Linked DNA regions of Drosophila melanogaster. The protein of the gene in region 3 binds, or shares a complex with, the protein of the main gene of each other region. Each region holds a gene or a part of one and is shown on either strand. Other genes may lie near its edges.

The links.
Region 1: Nup107 (region 3) and PCID2 share a complex: the UniProt entries of both Drosophila melanogaster proteins name them as parts of the nuclear pore complex.
Region 2: Nup107 (region 3) and Nup54 share a complex: the UniProt entries of both Drosophila melanogaster proteins name them as parts of the nuclear pore complex.
Region 4: Nup107 (region 3) and Nup153 share a complex: the UniProt entries of both Drosophila melanogaster proteins name them as parts of the nuclear pore complex.

Annotation. Positions count from the first base shown.
Region 1 is NT_037436.4:11,624,657-11,628,225, reverse strand, and holds PCID2 (PCI domain-containing protein 2), read right to left. Parts: upstream 1,786-3,569; 5' UTR 1,747-1,785; coding exon 559-1,746; 3' UTR 511-558; downstream 1-510. Other genes in the region: CG6083 (uncharacterized protein), read left to right, coding at 2,242-2,310, 2,467-2,609, 2,674-3,375, 3,446-3,500. UniProt on the Drosophila melanogaster protein: Required for the export of nuclear mRNAs and involved in mRNA trafficking in the cytoplasm.
Region 2 is NT_033778.4:12,427,948-12,433,010, reverse strand, and holds Nup54 (nucleoporin 54kD), read left to right. Parts: upstream 1-1,911; 5' UTR 1,912-2,074; coding exon 2,075-2,129; exon of another isoform or gene 2,130-2,151; coding exon of another isoform or gene 2,152-2,260; intron 2,261-2,321; coding exon of another isoform or gene 2,322-2,398; exon of another isoform or gene 2,399-2,416; intron 2,417-2,550; coding exon 2,551-3,057; intron 3,058-3,116; coding exon 3,117-3,483; intron 3,484-3,539; coding exon 3,540-4,101; intron 4,102-4,168; coding exon 4,169-4,510; 3' UTR 4,511-4,562; downstream 4,563-5,063. Other genes in the region: DUBAI (deubiquitinating apoptotic inhibitor), read left to right, coding at 1-32, 90-668; CG43204 (uncharacterized protein), read right to left, coding at 2,152-2,260, 2,322-2,398. UniProt on the Drosophila melanogaster protein: Component of the nuclear pore complex (NPC), a complex required for the trafficking across the nuclear envelope. Essential for the nuclear import of nuclear localization signal (NLS)-containing proteins in an importin alpha/importin beta-dependent manner.
Region 3 is NT_033779.5:10,732,793-10,737,826, reverse strand, and holds Nup107 (nucleoporin 107kD), read left to right. Parts: upstream 1-1,755; 5' UTR 1,756-1,881; coding exon 1,882-4,054; intron 4,055-4,118; coding exon 4,119-4,483; 3' UTR 4,484-4,534; downstream 4,535-5,034. Other genes in the region: Vha16-5 (vacuolar H[+] ATPase 16kD subunit 5), read left to right, coding at 870-1,451; Dpy-30L1 (Dpy-30-like 1), read right to left, coding at 4,605-5,009. UniProt on the Drosophila melanogaster protein: Plays a role in nuclear pore complex (NPC) assembly and maintenance. Required for nuclear import of Mad. Mediates the association between the nuclear pore complex and a subset of active chromatin regions adjacent to lamin-associated domains.
Region 4 is NC_004354.4:16,597,310-16,602,279, forward strand, and holds the start of Nup153 (nucleoporin 153kD), read left to right. Parts: upstream 1-1,931; 5' UTR 1,932-2,330; exon of another isoform or gene 2,331-2,414; 5' UTR 2,415-2,845; coding exon 2,846-3,004; intron 3,005-3,070; coding exon 3,071-3,586; intron 3,587-3,644; coding exon 3,645-3,889; intron 3,890-4,066; coding exon 4,067-4,970. Other genes in the region: CG9784 (uncharacterized protein), read right to left, coding at 1-933. UniProt on the Drosophila melanogaster protein: Component of the nuclear pore complex (NPC), a complex required for the trafficking across the nuclear envelope. Functions as a scaffolding element in the nuclear phase of the NPC.

The DNA.
Region 1 (3,569 bases), on a different chromosome or scaffold from region 3:
CGGCTGAGAAATGGTTACTAGCTAACTAGATCTAATCTTCGCCACTTGTCTTATGTACACTTTGCGCGAATGAGGCTCTAATCATTTACCAGGTAATACCACAAGTATTGTGTTAATTTGTTTAAATTCGCTCAACTACGACAATTCATGCAGCTGCGTTCCAAAAAGTTCAGAGATGAGTGATAGTCGGTGGACCTAGAGATGTGACCGAAACCGATTCCGCTGTCGATACATCGGTTCGAGCACAAAAATCGATATATATCAATTCCAAAGTTCGATTAAGTTTAAAAAGTGGTATTAGTTTAAAACCGTTGAAAAATAAACATATTTATAACCAAAAATTATATTATTAGTTCATAAGTTGATTTGAAACATATAGGTTTCGAAAAACCAAACAAAATTATAACCAAATAGAATTGAAGGTACTTTAAATTCAAAGTCTTCAGGTCTTATACTCATCGTTGGTGCCCTCCATTCACATGCCCCATCCAGTAAACTAATACACTGATTAAATTGGATTCTTTTACTCTTAAAAATTCACAATAATTACAAAATGCACTAAAGGGACACTGAGGGGAATGGATTTTGCTTCGACACGACCAGTTTGTTGTGAGCATGTGAGATGTACCCCTTAATCTTTCCATCGTAAATGAGATTGGCCACGATGCAGTGCGTCTCGTCCAGAGAAACATCGGTTAAGCCAACGAAATGCAAGGCGGAGAGGAAGTCACCCATGTCCAACTGATGCGATTTCCGGATGACGAACACCTTCTTGAACAGGTTGCGATACACGAGGAACTTGAGCTTCTCCACCAGCAGATAGATACCACTCCTGATCAGCACCAGCTCCTGGTCCCTGACAATCTCATCAAAGCGATTCACATTGCCAGCCTTCATGGCCATAGCCAGATCGAGAAACAGCAGGAGATCGTAGCGCTGCAGTAAGGATTTGCTGGGCAGATATCCCAGCAGCATCTTCACTGGCACCAAATAGATGAGGATGAGCCTCTTGTTGCTGGCAAACCGATCCGGGCAGTTGCTAAAGGCATACGACAGATACTGTACGGCTGCCTGGTAGTTGGAGTCGAACATAGCCCGTCTACCTACAAAATACTTGTAGGTAATTTGCTCCGGCAGCGGAAAAGAATCCTTGAAGATGCAATTATCGATGGCACGGATAAGGGGCTTGCACAGATGCAACTTGTTGATTCGAAAATAAATCTTGAATAGCTGGTTTACGAGGTTCATCATGCCCAGACGCTTGGTGTCCTCCTCTGAAGCTCGTCCATCAGCGGCACAAACGCGGAAACAGGCCATTATGCAGTCGGCAGCCTTCTCCAATACGTGGCCAGGTGTGAATCCTTGACAATGCTTCTCGCAGGCCTGCGCCAAGTACCTTAGATCCAGGCACACGCGGTACATTAGTGGCAGGCACCAATTCTCGTCCTTCAGCTGCTGCAAAAGCCTCACAACGGCTCCGCAGGCTGCCGACTGTTGGGTGTAGGCTTCCATGTAACCAGGAGGCTCCTGTGCCAGGTGATACAGCACCTTCAGGTGGGCGGACACAACTTCGTCCAGTGGCGGTTTCAGGAATCGATCCACCAACTTTTCCGGCTGGGCAATGTACAAATTGTGGTTCTGAACGTGCACGTCTCGTAAGGAGAGATACGTGGCCAAGGACTCGCCATCTAAATCCTGGGCGGCGTGCAAAACGCCGGATAAATAGTTATTTACGGTGCCGAACATTGTTTGTGTTTTTCGCAGGCGGCAAAATTAGAGATGGTAGGTCAGGCACTATCTGCGAATGCGATGTTTTCATCGGAAACTTCTATCGATTGTCTTTGTTTTTTATAACGCGATAATACAAAGAATATTTTTTCAAAAGTTTTTTTTTTAACATTTTATTTTATTTTATTAAAAAAAGGTATTTATTTACATTATACTCGGTTTATAAAATAAAACTCTGAACGCAGAAAAAGAGTTTTTTGTTTTAAATTTTAAAATTTCCCTCTGCAGCGAATCGATTATATTCCGCGAAGGTCTTTTGCTTGCCCAAAAGATTCTAAATTTAAACAATTTTCGTACATATAGTTGTGATAGCAGAGCTGTCACAAGACATGCTGTTTCTAGCCAGTTTAATAGGCCTTTGAGTATAGTTCACTTAGTAAATTACAAATTAAAGCTTTCCAAAAACGAAGCCAGTGCAACAACATATTTCACAAGGAGCAAAAGGATTCAAACATGTCGACACCGAATTTTCTCTTGAGCAATGGTAAAAATATGCCTATGTTGGGTCTCGGAACTTGGCGGGTAAGTACTTTTACATAGATATATATTGTTATTAAATAATAGCCAGCTGAAATGTGCATTTCCACTGCATATTTCACGGTCAATGTCAAAGCTCTTCGGGGTCAAGCAAAAGCTTTTGATGCACCTCAGCTTTTTACGTTTTATTCGCCATTTTAGAGCCCGCCGGAAGTGGTGACCCAAGCAGTAAAGGATGCTATTGATATAGGCTATCGCCATTTTGACTGCGCTCATATCTATGGCAATGAGGCGCAAGTGGGAGCTGCTCTCCGGGAGAAAATGGACGAGGGAGTGGTCACACGGTAAGTGCTGCTTTCAGGCCTAATCAATCGTTTATCTAAGCCATAAATACATATTGCACTGCAGAGATGAACTCTTCATCACGAGCAAACTTTGGAACACACACCACAAGCCGGATTTGGTGCGCCCGGCATGTGAGACAAGCATAAGGAACTTGGGAGTCAAGTACCTAAACCTCTACCTGATGCACTGGCCCATGGCCTACAAGTCGGGCAGTGACAACCTATATCCCACGTGTCCGGACACCAATAAGGCCGCATTCGAGGACATCGACTATGTGGACACGTGGCGTGCAATGGAGAATCTGGTGGACGAGGGTCTGTGCCAGGCCATCGGTGTGTCTAACTTCAATGAGCAGCAGATGAATAGACTTCTCAGTGTGGCCAAGCTTAAACCGGTAGTTCTTCAAATCGAGTGCCACCCGTACCTTAGTCAGAAGCCATTGATTACGCTGTGCTATGACAATGCCATTGCTGTGACCGCCTACAGCTGCCTGGGATCGGGACATACGCCCTACGAGAAGCCCGGCGCTTATCCACTGCTCCAGCATCCGACCATCTTGGCTATAGCTGAGAAATACGAAAGGACTGCGGCACAGGTGCTCCTACGCTTTCAGACACAATCGGGTATAATTGTCATCCCAAGATCAGTAAGCAAACAGCACATGTTGGACAACTTTAAGCGAATCTGGGACTTTGAGTTGGCCGTCGATGACATACAGGCCATTAACGAATTGGACTGCAATGGGCGTTTTATGACCATGAAGGCGTAGGTGTTGCTCTTTTCATTTCCTAGGTTTTAACTTGAAATATCTCGAATCTTTCTATTTTTCTCCTAGGGCCTATGGACATCCTCATCATCCATTTGAACCCAAAGCCAAAGTAGATAATTAATATTAATTAATATTAGAAGTACAAGTAGTTATTTAAACTGATTGCCTTTAATGTGATAAGTAAGATTGT
Region 2 (5,063 bases), on a different chromosome or scaffold from region 3:
AGCTCATGCATAAGGTGTTCCACGATGAGAGCGTAAGTATCGCAGCGAATTTCTCCGCTACAAGTTTAGCTAACCATTTCGCACGCTAGGTCACAGTAAAAATGTCGGCAAAGGACTCGCTGCAGGAGATGTCCACTGTGCACTATGATCTGTATGCGGGTGTTGTTCACGCCGGGTACAGCATGGATTCCGGTCACTACTTTACGTTCGCGGCGGATCAAGCCAAGAATTGGTACAAGTTCAACGATAACGTGGTTACCCACTCCAAGCCGGAGGAGATGCACAATCTCACTTCGCCCAACACGCCCTACATCCTGTTCTACAAGATGTGCGGCCACTCCAATGAGTCTAATTCGGTTACGGCCAGCTGCAGTTCGAGTATGGTATCGGGCTCAAATGACCAGGTGGTCTCGGTGCCACTGTCGCCGCCTCTGAAGCTGGAGGAGTTGCCACGCCGACTTCGCGACTACGTAAGAAAGGACAACCATGTTTACAACGAAGAGTTGAAGATGCAACGCTTTAAGCGTGGCAACAGCGGTCACGGCAATGCGTTTGTCAGCCGGCACAACTTTGATGGCGATGGTGACGAGGACGACAAGGCGCCGCCGCCGCCCGGAGGATGTGGAGGCAATGGACTGGGCATGAACATCAACCGCTTCGTCTTCTGAGAAAGCGACAGCCAGGATAGCGAGCACACCGGAGGCCACTAGAACATATACTTGTCTACTTTATGAAACACGCGCATACTAATCGAAATGTTACATACATATATATATAGCACGTTCACAACCAATCGAGATATATGCGCCTACGTATATCGAAGTGTATGAGAAACGCGCTTACCGATCGCTTGTTCGCTACCTCCTTGAGTTGTTGTCGATGTTTTCTAAATTGTTTCTTCCTTTTCTCCTTGATCCTTCGGCCCGTTGCCCCAAAAATCATTATACTCATCCACTCATACGAACGCAAACTATTATTGTATTTCCATTTACAAAATTGTTATAATTTTTTTGTTTTTGTTAACACAAACCTAGTTGTAGAACGTGCATATATGCGAACACAAACATATTTAATTATAAAAATTAAAAAAAAAAAAAAACAATAGAATTAGCCAGAAATAGGAGCGATATACTTGAATCCGAAGACCACTAACTTCCAAAACACTAAACCAGAAATAATGTCTGCACCCTAGTTTTTAACGCACAGCTCGAAATTAAATCATATCTCGAGTTGCAATCGAACTAGCAAGAAGCTACAAAACAAGATAATCGCGGCATTGACTTGTATAGATCGAGATCGTTTATAGATCGGGCTATAACCCTCGGATCGTATTATTAGTTTCACTGTTAATTTTAGCAAATTTCAAAAAATTTGCGCATGTGCGACACGAATTTGTAATTGATATATATAAATGTATCTCTTTGGATCTGGTGAGCAGAGGTTGCGATGAATTTTGAACGTTATTGCAATTAAATTGGAATAATTTCAAGGAAATTTGTATATGGTGTATGTCTATTGATAACCAAAATCTATACTATGCTATGCTATAAGTGTATCAATAAAGAAAAGAACAAGCCCAAAGAGTGTTTAATTATTAGAGTCACGAAAGAGTTTAATGTGAAAACAACAAAAATAGTATCCATTCATGGAAGTTACTATATCAAAAAGAAAAGCAATGATCAGAAAGGAGGATATTATATTCAGTTCAAACATTAGAGAGGAGGCGTAAACTAGAATTAAAAACTTGACAGGATTATTGAAGTGGCGAATTGATTTTCTTGCCGCCAAATTTCAAATTATAGCGTACTAATAATCAAAAGTCGGGCCTAAGACTATCGATAATTTAGACCGCGCGGCAGTGTTACCAAATTAATAAGGGAAATTCAAGTGTTGTTGTCAGCAAGGGTGAGAGCCCATTTACAATCTGGTAACACTGCTAGAAAGCGCCAAAATTTTACGTTTATTAGGATTAAGACTAATTTTATTACAATAAAATAGAATTGTACAAATTCCGGCCCCTAGGAAAGGCAACCCAAACTGTGCGGCAAAGTAACGTCCTTGAGAATACCGCATCATGTCGTTCTTCGGATCCAACACGTCGCTGGGAGCAACAAGCACGCCGGCCAAAAGTGAGTTTCCGTAAACAAGACCTCATGCCCTTTTCTCCAAATATTTGTGGGGTCCATTTCCACTTGGTGGAGGCTTCAGCAGCTTCTTGGCGTCCTGCAGGCTGTGGATGCGGATGTCTTTGGGATCTATGCTGGATGTGGGACGGGCTACATGGTGTCAGTGTTCTTATGTGGCCAGACAAAGATGCTCACCCCTTCTTGTGGACCACATAGGCGACGTATCCCACAAAACCTAGCAGGAGGATCAGCAATATAAAAACCAGAGCCATTTTCCACGACCAGCAGGCGACCAGAGCTTGAAGCAAACTAAGGGCAGCTTCTGTAGTATTTTGGAACCCGAAATCTCAGATAAGAATCCAAGGCAGAAGCATAGTTTTCAAAACACTGACCCATTTCTGGTCTTCTTATCTCTTTTGTTCAGCAACCGGTGGCCTCTTCGGATCGCCGTTTGGAGGCACAGCTGCAACCAGCCAGCCAGCACCCGCTTTCGGAGCACAGGCCACATCGACTCCGGCTTTTGGCGCCCAACCGGCGACTTCTGCCTTCGGAGCAGGTTCCGCCTTTGGAGCAACCGCTGCAGCCCCGGCTTTTGGAGCCGCCACAGGAACTTCTGCCTTTGGCGGCTCCGCCTTTGGCAGTACTCCGGCATTTGGTGCGGCGACAACCACAACTGCGGGCACGGGTTTGGGAGGAGGCGGTTTCGGCGGATTTGGAGCAGCTCCGGCAACAAGTCAGGCCGGTCTGTTCGGCGCTCCAGCGACTAGTGCAGCACCACCAGCTTTTAGCGGATTCGGCCAACAGGCAGCTGCGAGTACAGCGCCAGCAAGTGGATTTTCAGGCTTTGGCACAACCACAACGTCGGCACCTGCTTTTGGTGGCTTTGGCACCAGCCAGTCCACTGGCTTTGGGGGCGGAGCCTTCGGATCCAGTAAGTTAAATAAGCCCATTTGTCTTTCTGTGGTATTCCTAACCTGGTTTATGTTTCAGCGTTCGGAAAACCAGCGAATACAACAGTTACGCCGGGATTTGGTGGATTCGGAGGCACCAGTTTTATGCTTGGACAGCCGCAACAGCAGCCAGCGCCCATATCGGCTGACGAGGCGTTTGCCCAATCCATTCTGAATGTATCCATTTTCGGGGATGAACGGGACAAAATAGTGGCCAAATGGAACTACTTGCAGGCTACGTGGGGCACTGGGAAAATGTTTTACTCCCAGAGTGCGGCACCGGTAGACATTACGCCGGAGAACGTGATGTGCCGGTTCAAGGCCATAGGCTACAGTCGTATGCCGGGCAAGGATAACAAGTTGGGACTGGTGGCTCTTAACTTCTGCAGAGAACTCTCAGCTGTCAAGTAAGTCTTAGTGCTTGTCTACATCATGGCATAGGTATTAATTCATTTTATTTTAGGCCACACCAGCAACAAGTGATTCAAACGCTTCACAGTTTATTCGGCAGCAAGCCCAACATGCTTGTTCACATAGATTCCATCAAGGAGTTGGAGAACAAAAAGTGCCAAATTGTTATTTATGTCGAGGAGAAACTTCAACATGCTCCCAACGAAAGCAAGCGTATACTTGCCACCGAACTCTCAAACTACCTTAATCAGGCGACGCTGAAACCACAGCTCAATAATCTAGGTGTTGTGGAGGCTTTGGCTCTGGTATTACCCGACGAAGATCAATTGAGGGAGTACCTTGAAAATCCACCCCGCGGCGTGGATCCGCGCATGTGGCGTCAGGCCAATTCCGACAATCCAGATCCAACTTTATATATACCAGTGCCCATGGTGGGCTTTAACGACTTAAAGTGGCGCGTTAAGTGTCAGGAACAAGAAACGGACACGCATGCATTGTACATAAAGAAGGTGGAGAGTGAGCTGACAGAACTCAAGAAGCGCCATGCCACTGCCACAGCGAAGATACTTGAACATAAACGGAAACTGGCCGAGCTCAGTCATCGCATACTAAGGGTAGGGACACCTAGTTAAATACCCAACTTTATTTTTACATTCAGAAATCCGCATTTTTCAACCACAGATAATAGTGAAACAAGAGTGCACCCGCAAGGTGGGCACTTCCCTGACGCCCGAGGAGGAGGCCTTGCGCACCAAGCTACAGAACATGCTGGCTGTCGTCTCCGCACCCACCCAATTCAAGGGCCGACTCAGCGAGCTCCTCTCCCAGATGCGCATGCAGCGCAATCAATTCGCAGCCAACGGTGGTGCCGAGTATGCCCTCGACAAGGAAGCGGAGGACGAGATGAAGACCTTTCTGACGATGCAGCAGCGCGCCATGGAGGTGCTGAGCGATACCGTCAACAAGGACCTGAGGGCGCTGGATGTTATAATTAAAGGACTGCCCGAGCTGCGACAATCGTGATAGGAATGGAAATGAGCTGATACGTTGAATAAAACCCACATATGTGTAACACAACCCGGTGATTTTCGATGATCGAGACAACGAACAAGTTGTGGCCGTTACACTTTTGCCATTATGTCGTCGTTTAGCATTTCCTGTAGCTTTGAACTTGCACTTTTACGGGCAATGGAGTCGAAACAATCGAAACGAGTTCACACATTCGTCGCCAATGCTGCGGAAATAATTGTGTGGGTCAATGCACTTGCACCGCACAGCTCTTGGACCGCCCGACTTTTCCTCGGCCACTGTCTGAAATTGTCCAATTTCGACGGCTAGGCAGAAGGCAATCGCTCGGACTCATTATGAGTGGCAAACGGTTCGTCTCTGGCAGTTCCAGTTTGTTCAACTCCCAGCATCGGTATCACCATCGTTGTTACATTAACATTATTATGTGCTCTGGCGTGTGCATACATGTGCAGTCTAGTTAGTTGGCTCGTTACATATTTATTTCTTGTGTGGGAAACTAGTTTTCTCCCAGTCAACCAGCCAGCCAGGGTCCGTGCAGGTTTTTTGT
Region 3 (5,034 bases):
GTGAACATTTTCTCTATAATAAAAATGCGCGTTTGCGGGGAGAAAAATCAATGCCGTACCTTGGGTGAGATTAGATGCGAAGTGCCGTGGATCAGGGGTTCCGTAGACTACTATTATATCACTGGTGTGTGCTGTTGCTCAGGTTCCGTGCTTTTGTGTTTCTCTCAGGGCTCTCGTCCACATTCGTCCACTGCGTTCCATTTTATGCGCCGCCAGCGAAATGCGAATAACTTGCTTCCTGTTTTCGGTGCTCGCTTGTTTTTGAATTTGGCTGCTCGGTTCCGTGGGTCGCCGGAATCGCGTACCGTCCTCCGACCCGTTGTCTGGTTAGCTGCGACTGCCAGGAGCTGCGACTCGAGCGAATGCAGCGCATCGCCCAATCGCAATTCTGCAGAGCCAAAATCGCAATTGCAAGCGTCTTCGCCGTGCGTACAACAAATAAAAGAAAAATGTTTTATGTTGGGCGGCCCTTGCACGATTGGACGGCAGCATATCGTCATGCAAGCGTTTCGTGCACGTCGCCAGCATGATGACCGATAAACCGCGCAGCTTCAAATTCAAACCGCAATCGATTGTTACATCTTTCGAAGGTTTTAAACATTTAATAATATTTAATTTAATTTCGAGTGCCTAAATCTAAGCAAGTTTTATTATTAGTGTTTAATTTCACTTAACAAGTTGCTAAAATTATTGAATTGAGCCCTAACATCTTAAATAATATTAATATTAAATATAAACTGCTCATCTCGTTCCCCTTGGATTTTCTTTCTTGCCAAACTACAGGCTAGTCAGACTAACAAGTTGGAAAATCCAGAAAGCAAGCAACGTGGATCGTTCCTTTTCAAGTAAATACGAAAAAGGCTACCAAAATGGAAATGGATTACTATCTGCCAGTGTATAACGGATCAAATTCGGTGGACGTGCCGGGGCTGATTGAAAGTCTCAAGCTGAAGGAAACCAGTATATCGCCAATCGTGCTGGATCGCTATCCGCCGTACTCCCCGTTCTATGGCGTGATGGGCGTCGTATTCTCCAGTGTGCTGACCTCCGCTGGAGCGGCCTACGGAACTGCTGTTTCCGGAACTGGAATCGCCGCCACAGCGGTGATGCGTCCCGAGCTGGTGATGAAGTCCATCATTCCGGTGGTCATGGCGGGCATCATTGCCATATACGGTCTGGTGGTATCCGTGCTCCTATCTGGGGAACTAGCGCCTGCTCCCAAATACTCGCTGCCCACCGGCTATGTACACCTGGCCGCTGGACTTTCGGTGGGATTTGCTGGACTGGCTGCCGGATATGCAGTGGGTGAAGTCGGCGAAGTGGGCGTGCGGCACATTGCCCTGCAGCCACGCCTCTTTATCGGCATGATCCTGATCCTTATTTTCGCCGAGGTGCTCGGTCTCTACGGCCTGATCATTGGGATTTATTTGTACACGGTCAACATTAAGTAGCAGAATTTGTTATATCTAAAATATTTAATTCGTTAAGAAACGTTTTTATCGATCTTTAATATTTGAAATGCCTTTTGAATTTCTTTACGCGATTGTGGTACTCATTTCAGGTACGCCGTTGCGGTACGCGATGGAGGTACCCCATACTAATGATTCTACGGAATGCTGGTACCTTATTCTTTAGCAGCTTTGCCGAATTACTAGATATGTAAACAATTTAAATCAATTTGTTTCTTACGAAATTTGCTTGAATTCAGTGAGAATCGCTTATTTACAAGTGTATGTGCAAGGGAGCTTTCTTGCTGTTCCGTCATCTGGTAACACTGAACGCTCCCGGCATTTTTAGCGAATAGCGCGTGAATTTCTGTTTTGATTAAATTAATTGAATTGATGTGCCGTAGCTGATAGCCAAGAAACGCATAGTGCAGCCATGGCCGACAGCCCGTTCCCGAGGAGCAGCCGCAGTGGCCTGCTACGCACGACGCTGAACAGCTCGATGCCGCCGCAAAATCTCTCCCACTCGCTGCTCATCCTCGAGAAGAGCAACGCGGAGCAGAATGAGCTCTCGCTGATGGAGGACACCGGCGATGATCTGGATCGGGGCAAGAGCCGCATGGACGTGCTCTTCCCGCAGTTCTTCGACGTGCTGCAGGCTCAGGGTAACGGGCAGGAGGCATTCGAGGTGATCCAATCGCTGACGCAAGTCTGTCGCGGCGTGGTGGAGCAGCTGGAGCTGGAGATCGATCACGGCATGGGTGGGGAACAGGGCGCGCGGCAACGCGAGTCTATGCTCACCTGGCTGCGACAGGAGATAAACACGTGGCGCCTGCTGCACGCCCTCTTCTACGACCGCATCCTGCTGCAGACGGACAGGCAGGCGGATGATGAGATGCAAGATGGCCCCACGCTCGGCGGCAGCGAGAAGGAGGTCATACAGCAGTTGTACGCCCTCAATGCGACGCTGCGTGAGTACCAGCTGGTGGTGGACTGGCTGGAGGCGTGCTACGACCGGGGGGAGCAACAAAACCCACTCCACGCCCACGATCGTATGATGGCGTGGGAGAACACGCTCTTCCAACTGGAGAACCTGCAGGGCGCCGCCTTTGGCAAGGGCCATAAGATCGTAACGCGTCTGGATCCAGATGCTCCCGTACGCGAGAAACGACCGTTGCACGCCCTCGACGAGGAGGACAACCTGCGCCTGTCCCGCGCCATTTTCGAATTGATACGAGCGGGACGCGTCGACGATGGCCTCAAGTTGTGCAAGCACTTCGGACAGACGTGGCGGGCGGCGATCCTTGAGGGCTGGCGTCTCCACGAGGATCCCAACTTCGAGCAGAATGTCTCGGTGCTGCACGAAAAGCTGCCCATCGAGGGCAATCCCAGGAGGGATATCTGGAAGCGCTGCGCGTGGATGCTGGCCGATTCCAAGAACTATGACGAGTACAGCCGCGCGACGGCGGGTGTCTTCTCCGGCCACTTGGGCTCGCTGAAAACCCTTTTGCACAGCAACTGGCACGATTTGCTCTGGGCCCATCTGAAGGTGCAGATCGACATCCGTGTGGAATCGGAGATACGCGGCTGCTGCCTCAAAAACTACCAACCGATGCCCGATGATTACTGGAACGGCAGGATGACGATGGAGCAGATCTTCGAGGAACTGAACGTTGCCAAGGATGCGTCGGTGCGGGATTTCGCCCAAAGTCAACTGGGCATTATCCAGCGTCATTTAATCCTGGATACTTGCGGCGAGCTGATCCAACACATGGTGCGCTGGGTGGAGAAGGATACCTCCCAACAATCGCCCCATCAATTGCGCTTTATGGCCCACATAGTGCTCTTCCTGCGTCAAATCGGCCGTGTGGAGCAGGAGCGACAGGCGGAGAAGATCGTAGCCGCATATGTGGAGGCATTGATTGCCAGGGGCGAACCGCAGCTAATAGCCTACTATACTGCATCGCTTTCGAATCCGCTGCAGGTTCAGCTCTACTCGCGGTTTCTGGAGCAAGTGGAGCAGAAGCGTCCGCGGGAGCTAGCTGTGGATGCCGCCCTGCAGGCGGGCTTGGATGTGGAACAGATCACACGCGTCACCGTGCAGAATATTCGCCTCGCACATCAGCCACTCGGGGAATTCGGTGAGCCGCAGTCCGGCGAGATCTCTGCAATCGATCAGCGCAAGATCTCAGCATTGGAGTGGCTAATCCATTTGCCGGAGCAGCGCGGTGAGTTGCTGTGGCAGGCCAACGCCATGATACGCACCTATCTGGCCAGCAGCAAGGTGGAGTGCATGCGCCAGACCTTCCGCATGGTGCCGGCCGACATAGTGCAGCAACTAGTCAGCTTGTACGGCTCGGTGGACAACATACCACCGCGTGAGGAGTGCTGCCTGAAGGAGTATCTCTGCTACAAGGCGTATCTGTCTGGCGTCGACAGTTTCGTCGAATGGAACCGCCTGCAGCAGAACAGGCCCAAGAAGCCACAGACTTCACACGCAGCTTCCTCGCAGGACAACTTCACGGAGCGCATGGCGAGTGAGCGCAAGGAGCAGGCTCACCGATCGGAAGTCGTGCGCTGGGAGCACAAGGTTAAGGAGCAGGCCAAGCGTAAGTGGATCGCATACCCATTAATGAGATCTTTTGGCATATAACCCGCATTCTTTCCCTGCAGAAACCATCGAACTCCTGTACAATGTGCTCATGTTCCCGGACAAGGGTTGGCTGGTGGATCCGTTCATCGCCAAGCTGCCCGAGAACGCCGTGCAGCTGAGCTGGGATCATCGCCTACTGCAGATGGAGAAATTGCGCTCCATCTGCATTCCTGAGATCGCCCTGTTTCTGAACGAAGTGATGTTCAAGTCGGGAGACTTTGCGGGTTGCGTGCGCCTGGCAGATGAAATATCCAGCGAGAATCGGCAGTTGTACAAAGTCTATACGAAGCACAAGCTGGCAGAGCTTCTGGCCAAGATCGCGGACGCCTCCCTGGAGCTGCTCAACTCGAAACTGGATCCATGGGGCTATCCTATAACAACTTAGCAATCCTAGTACATTTGTGTGTTTTGCGATTACATTCTAACTTTAAACGTTTATTATTTATTCACTGTTCAATTATACAACTAAGGAGGGGGACAAATGGGAGGTAGGTAGGATGGAGGGCTTAGGAGTTGTTGTCCACGGCGGCGGCGGAGGCGTTGTTCTCGTCGCACCCGTTGCTATGCTTTAGTAGGTAGGAGGCCAGGAACTGTATGGGATCCGTGGGCCGTTCGCGAGCCAGGGCCTGCATTCCGTGGAGCAGAACCGGCGCCACCGTCTGGTCGAGGTACTGTCGCGTGGGCATGTTGTTTGTCTCGCTACTGGGCTTCTTGGCCACCGCCGGCTGCTGTTGCTGCTGCGCCACTGGATTTGTGGACTGGCCAACGGCAATGGCTCCGGATGGAGGAGCTCCCGGCGCAGCGGTCGGGTTTGCTTGCGCATTGCTGCTTGCATTTGGCTCCTTGCCAGCTTCTGCCGGCGGATTTGTTGTGGGCGCTGGTGAGATGGGTGCGTCGGTCTTGGCCTCCATGGCAATGTGTTCCTTTTGTTCAGCA
Region 4 (4,970 bases), on a different chromosome or scaffold from region 3:
GCCGGGCTGCCGGTTCAGTGGCTGCACGGCGTACATTATCCGATCCGTCCAGGCTGGCCGCCGCTTCAGGTCGTACTCGGAGGTGCCCTCGCGGAACTTGAAGGTGGGCGGAAAGGCGGGCAGTCGCTCCTGCAGAACCTGAAAGGCCAGCTGCGACTTCTCGCGAACTTGATACAATTGATCCCGCTGGATAAGGGCCTCGTGCTGGGACTCATCGCGTACCAACTCGCGCACTTCCGTCGAGGAATCGCTGCCCTGCAGTCGGAAGTTCAGATCGCCAAACCAGAAGACATAGTCGTGATCGTAGATCTCCCTATACCGCTTGACGTGGTAGTGATGGTTCTCCAGTATCTGCTTGTAGTCCTCGATGCGCTCGTCCATCATATGGTCATGGGCAGTCAGATGGGCCACCACAAAGGCCAGTCCGCAGCCGTAAAGGGTGAACCTGACACTGACGGCGCCCTTGTTGCCCCAAATGCCACCGAAACCGGTCCTCGTGAACTCCGCCTCGATGTCCTGCAAGTGCTCAACGTGCTGCCGCCTCACGAACATGCTGAGCAGCAGCCCCTGCATCTGCTCGGTCTTTACGGCCACATAGTCGTAGTTGCGTAGCAGTTCCTTAGCCTTGTGCGTCCACGGATCCTCCTTGAACAGTCCCAACACCTGTTGCTGCGGCTGGGCATTGACCTCCTGGAGCCCCAACGCATAGATGTCCGGCAAGTGGGCATTAGTCTCCTTCGTGTCCTTATCCACCGTCACATCCTGCAGTCCCAGCAGATGGCGGAGGGATATGTTATCCGGAAATCGACTGCCCACATTCCAGGTGACCACATATACCCGGTAAGTTTCCAGCTGTTGCTTCCCTTTGCCCTTCGATCCGTCCGGCTCCGAGTCCGGAATCTTGGGTGTCTTGCTAGCCTCCGTTTGGCTCATTGTTGCTGGACTTGACAAATCGAAGAGATTAACCCAACTGGCTGCTCACAGCAATCAAGTTGTTTACCCAACCGATTAAGGTTTTATTGTGTAAGTCGATTCTTTATGCCTTTGTGGATTTTGTTGCTCCAATCTGGGTTGCTGGTTAAGTTGGGTGGTGAACAGCGGCGAGGGCGGTCGGTAATTGCTGAAAATATTGCAGCACAAATAGTTTTTAACACTTGTTTGCCCAGCAGCAGCAACAACAACAACTGTGCTACAACAACACGACGAACACAATAACAACAACTAGGGATGGCAAAACTGAGAAGATGACGATATCGACTAGCGGTATTTATTTTCCAGCCCTAAAAATGTAAATTTCTTAGACGTTAAGAGGTAACATATTTGATTCATCTAGTAGTAAATTCAAGTTGTTTTAAAATGGCTTGCTAAAATTGAACCAAAACAATATGGTTTCCCCTATAACCCATTTTTTAAGATTTATTTAACATTTATACTGTATAATTTCTTTGTCATATTTGCACCTTAATAAGGGCTTTTATATTTGGCGCTCATATTATGTTCGTTTATTATATTTGCTTTATTTCTAATGCAGAATCTGTGGTCACTCTAGCACTCGCTGAATTTTAACTCGCTGGAAATTCTTTTTAGGACAACTATCGATTAACATTAGTACAGTATTTAAACTTTTGCATTATCACACAGCCAAGTAAAAACCTAAACAAATACCTCACTCCAACTTAAAGATACAAACGAGAATTCCTTTTAGTCAATGCAAATGCTTAGTATTCAAATGACAACACAAGCAAATGGTTACATATGTTATAAGTCGCACTTGAAGCGGTTCTTGAGTAATAAGCCCGTATGGCAGTTCATCACCAATTAAAAATATTTAATAATTACAGACTTCCAAACCGTAAACGTGCATGTAACCGATAGCTGCAGGCAACGTATCGATTAGCACACGCTGCCCGACACGCCGATAGTATCTGACAAACATCGATTTTGGTTCCAGCTCTACTTTGTGGCCACACACGCGTTTTTTCCCCAATCAAATCGTGCTCTTTTGAAATTCTGTTTCTTGCAAATCGGTGGTGCGTGTTCTCGTGCAACAATGGAAAACCTGAATGCGACCAGCGGCAAATGTTAAATTGCAATTAAAAGTGTGGATTTCGCGGCGGTAAAACGCCAAAATTCGTACCGAATCGCTGCGCGCGTGTGTGTGTGAGCAGAGCGTGAAGAAGAGGAACGAAGAATTGCGAAAGCAGTGTGTGCGGAAGAAGTGGAAGAAGCACAAAGACAAAAGGAAGGTGAAAATATATCAAATATATATCAAATCTATCCGGCAAAAGTAAAACAAATATTGAAGAAAACGGGCGGCATGCTGGAAAGCGGTAAGGGCAAAGCCAAAAGCAAGAACCTCGAGCGCTTCGCCCGAATTCGGTATTCAATCCTTTTTCCCGCCTCTAATTTTGCAGTGCTTGTGCCCAGAATTTGCTCTTCATTGGTGGCCAAGAAGTCAAATCCTGATCAAACGCGACCAGTTTGTGGCGCCAAACAGAATATTATTTAAAAATATCGCGGCGTGTGTAAAACCTCGGCGAAACGCGAACAAAAAAAACCACGACGGCGTGCGTAAGCGCACTCACACCTTTGCACACGCACAGACAGAGAGAGAAGGCAGGATAGAGAGTGAGAACGAAGCGAGTGAGCGAACATTATCCGCACCTACACATACAAACTAGCTCGCAGGAATTGCAACAGTGTGTGCTTTTTTTTTGGTTTTTTTTTTTACTTACGTTTTTTGTTGTGTGTGCGGCAACGCTTCTTTTTCGCGTTTTTTTTGCATCTCTCTTTTGTGCCGTTGCTTCGCCGGCTAAAAAGGTGAGTCTGAATCTAAAGCGGCATAATGGAGGATGCACAGGAGCAAAGGGAATCCTCGCAAGCCGAATTGGCCAAAAAGCATCCGCTGACGCCGCTCAAGGAGCTGCCTGAAGAAAGCGAGGAGGAGGAGGAGGAAGAGGATGAATCCTCGGCGGGAGCCCTACGGGAGTCTGACAGCAACAACGTAAGTACAGTCGACGATAACTTGGTTCCCATCAAATATCCAACTTCCGTGCAATTGCAATTGCAGTCCATCATGGGGAAGATGAAGATGCGCGTGTCCAGCATTCTGCCCGCCTCCTTGAGCGGTTGGTTTTCGCCGTCGTCCAAAGATGGGAACGATGCCTTATCCTCCCCAGCTAATCTCCGCCAGTCACAGCCACGCCAGTCCAATGGACGCCTCACTACCAAGCGGAAACGAGGACGCCGTCGGATAATGCTAGCCGAAGTGGATGCCGATGCAGCCGATGATCTTGATGACGGCTCCGATGCCAAAGGCCTCAACTATGAGGAGGTGGCCCTGGCCGACAACATAGCCGAACACGACCTGGCCGCCGAGGATGAACAGACGCGGCGGAGCGAGTACAATGTGTTCCTGCTGCGCAAGCGAGCCGGGGCTGTTGCAGCTGCCGGCGGTGACGAGGATGAGGCCGAGGAGGATGAACTGGAAGAGGACGACGAGGATGGCGATGAGGAGGATGACGATGAAGAGCAGGAGAATCTCCAACAGTCCGCCGCCGTGCAGACCAAGCGTCGACGCCTGGAGGTAAGATCACATCTTCAATCCTGTCTACATTTCCCAACTAATCTTGAATCCCTTTCAGCTGGAGACCCCCGTCAATTTGCCGAACATGCGTCGTCTGCCCCTTTTGTCATCCACGCCTGCTGCTCCGCTCGCGGCTGCCACCAGCTCCTCCAGCTCCCAGATGTACAAGGGCGTCAGCCACATTGCGCCACATCGGCGCAATCACCTCAATTTGTATGGTAGTCAACGGCAGCGCGAACCCGCGTACAACTTTTTCACGGGCAACGAAGCTGCCGAGGGAAGCACCGGGGATCTGCCACACAGGTATGTTACTGCAGTCATGCTTACTAAAAGTGTTAATATGGAATTCAAAAAGATAACTACCTTAGAGCTCGTTTCAAACAAACTCAAATTTGGGCGTTGCATAGCCAGGCTATTGCCAAGACGAAAAAGAAGAAAACCTTAGTGAAAATTATAAGGCAATCATTTAAATCATTTTAGCATCCGCCGTTCACTGAACATACCTTTCGGAGGCAGCAGCACCGCTACCAGCTACAACAACAGCCTATCCAGCCTTCCTAACCACAAGCGACCATCGCTCATAGGCAAGCAAACCCATCGACGCGATCTTACCATGGATGAGACGGGGACTGGCCCGGCCATGAGTTCGGAAGAACATCTCAATCATTTGCTGAGAATAAGCAGGACCAACAACAATACTAGCAACAATAATAATAATAATAATAACAACAACAATGTCATTGAGACAAAAACAAGACGAAGTGAACTGTCTGCGGCCGCAGGAGGTTGCGGTGATTCGCAGTCCGAGAGCGATATGAACGAATACCACGACAATGGTGAAGGGCACGACGGACTTCGTCCGTCGCATTACAACAGCAACAGCAATTTAGAATTTTACGGAAATCTGCAGAGCTCCAAGTCAATATTTAACAGAAGCAACACCGCCGCACAGCAATCGCATCGGAATTCTACGTGGTCGCTGAATTCCCTTACCCAACGACGTCGCTTCAATGCGTCCATATACGGCAGTACGTCGGCACTGAGCGACAGTCGTCTGCTTAGTGGCAGTGCCTCTAACTCAGGCTCTGCATCTGCCTCTAGCTCGCCCTTTTACCAGGGACGCACCACCTTCGGGGGCAATTCCGGCAACAATCGCCTCTTCAGTCGCAGCAATCTTAGCTCATCCGCCGCATCCTCAATGTTGGGACTCAATTCTGCCGGCAGCTCACCGGCGCATCAGCTGCATGCTTCCATGACTGGTGGTATTGGATACGGTATGAAAGCGGTAGATATGCGACCTTCAGACTCCGGCAGTCTTGCGGAGACATCTGTGGGCCAAGGTGGCAGTAAGAAACCCGGTACCGGGCTGTCGAACACCACGATG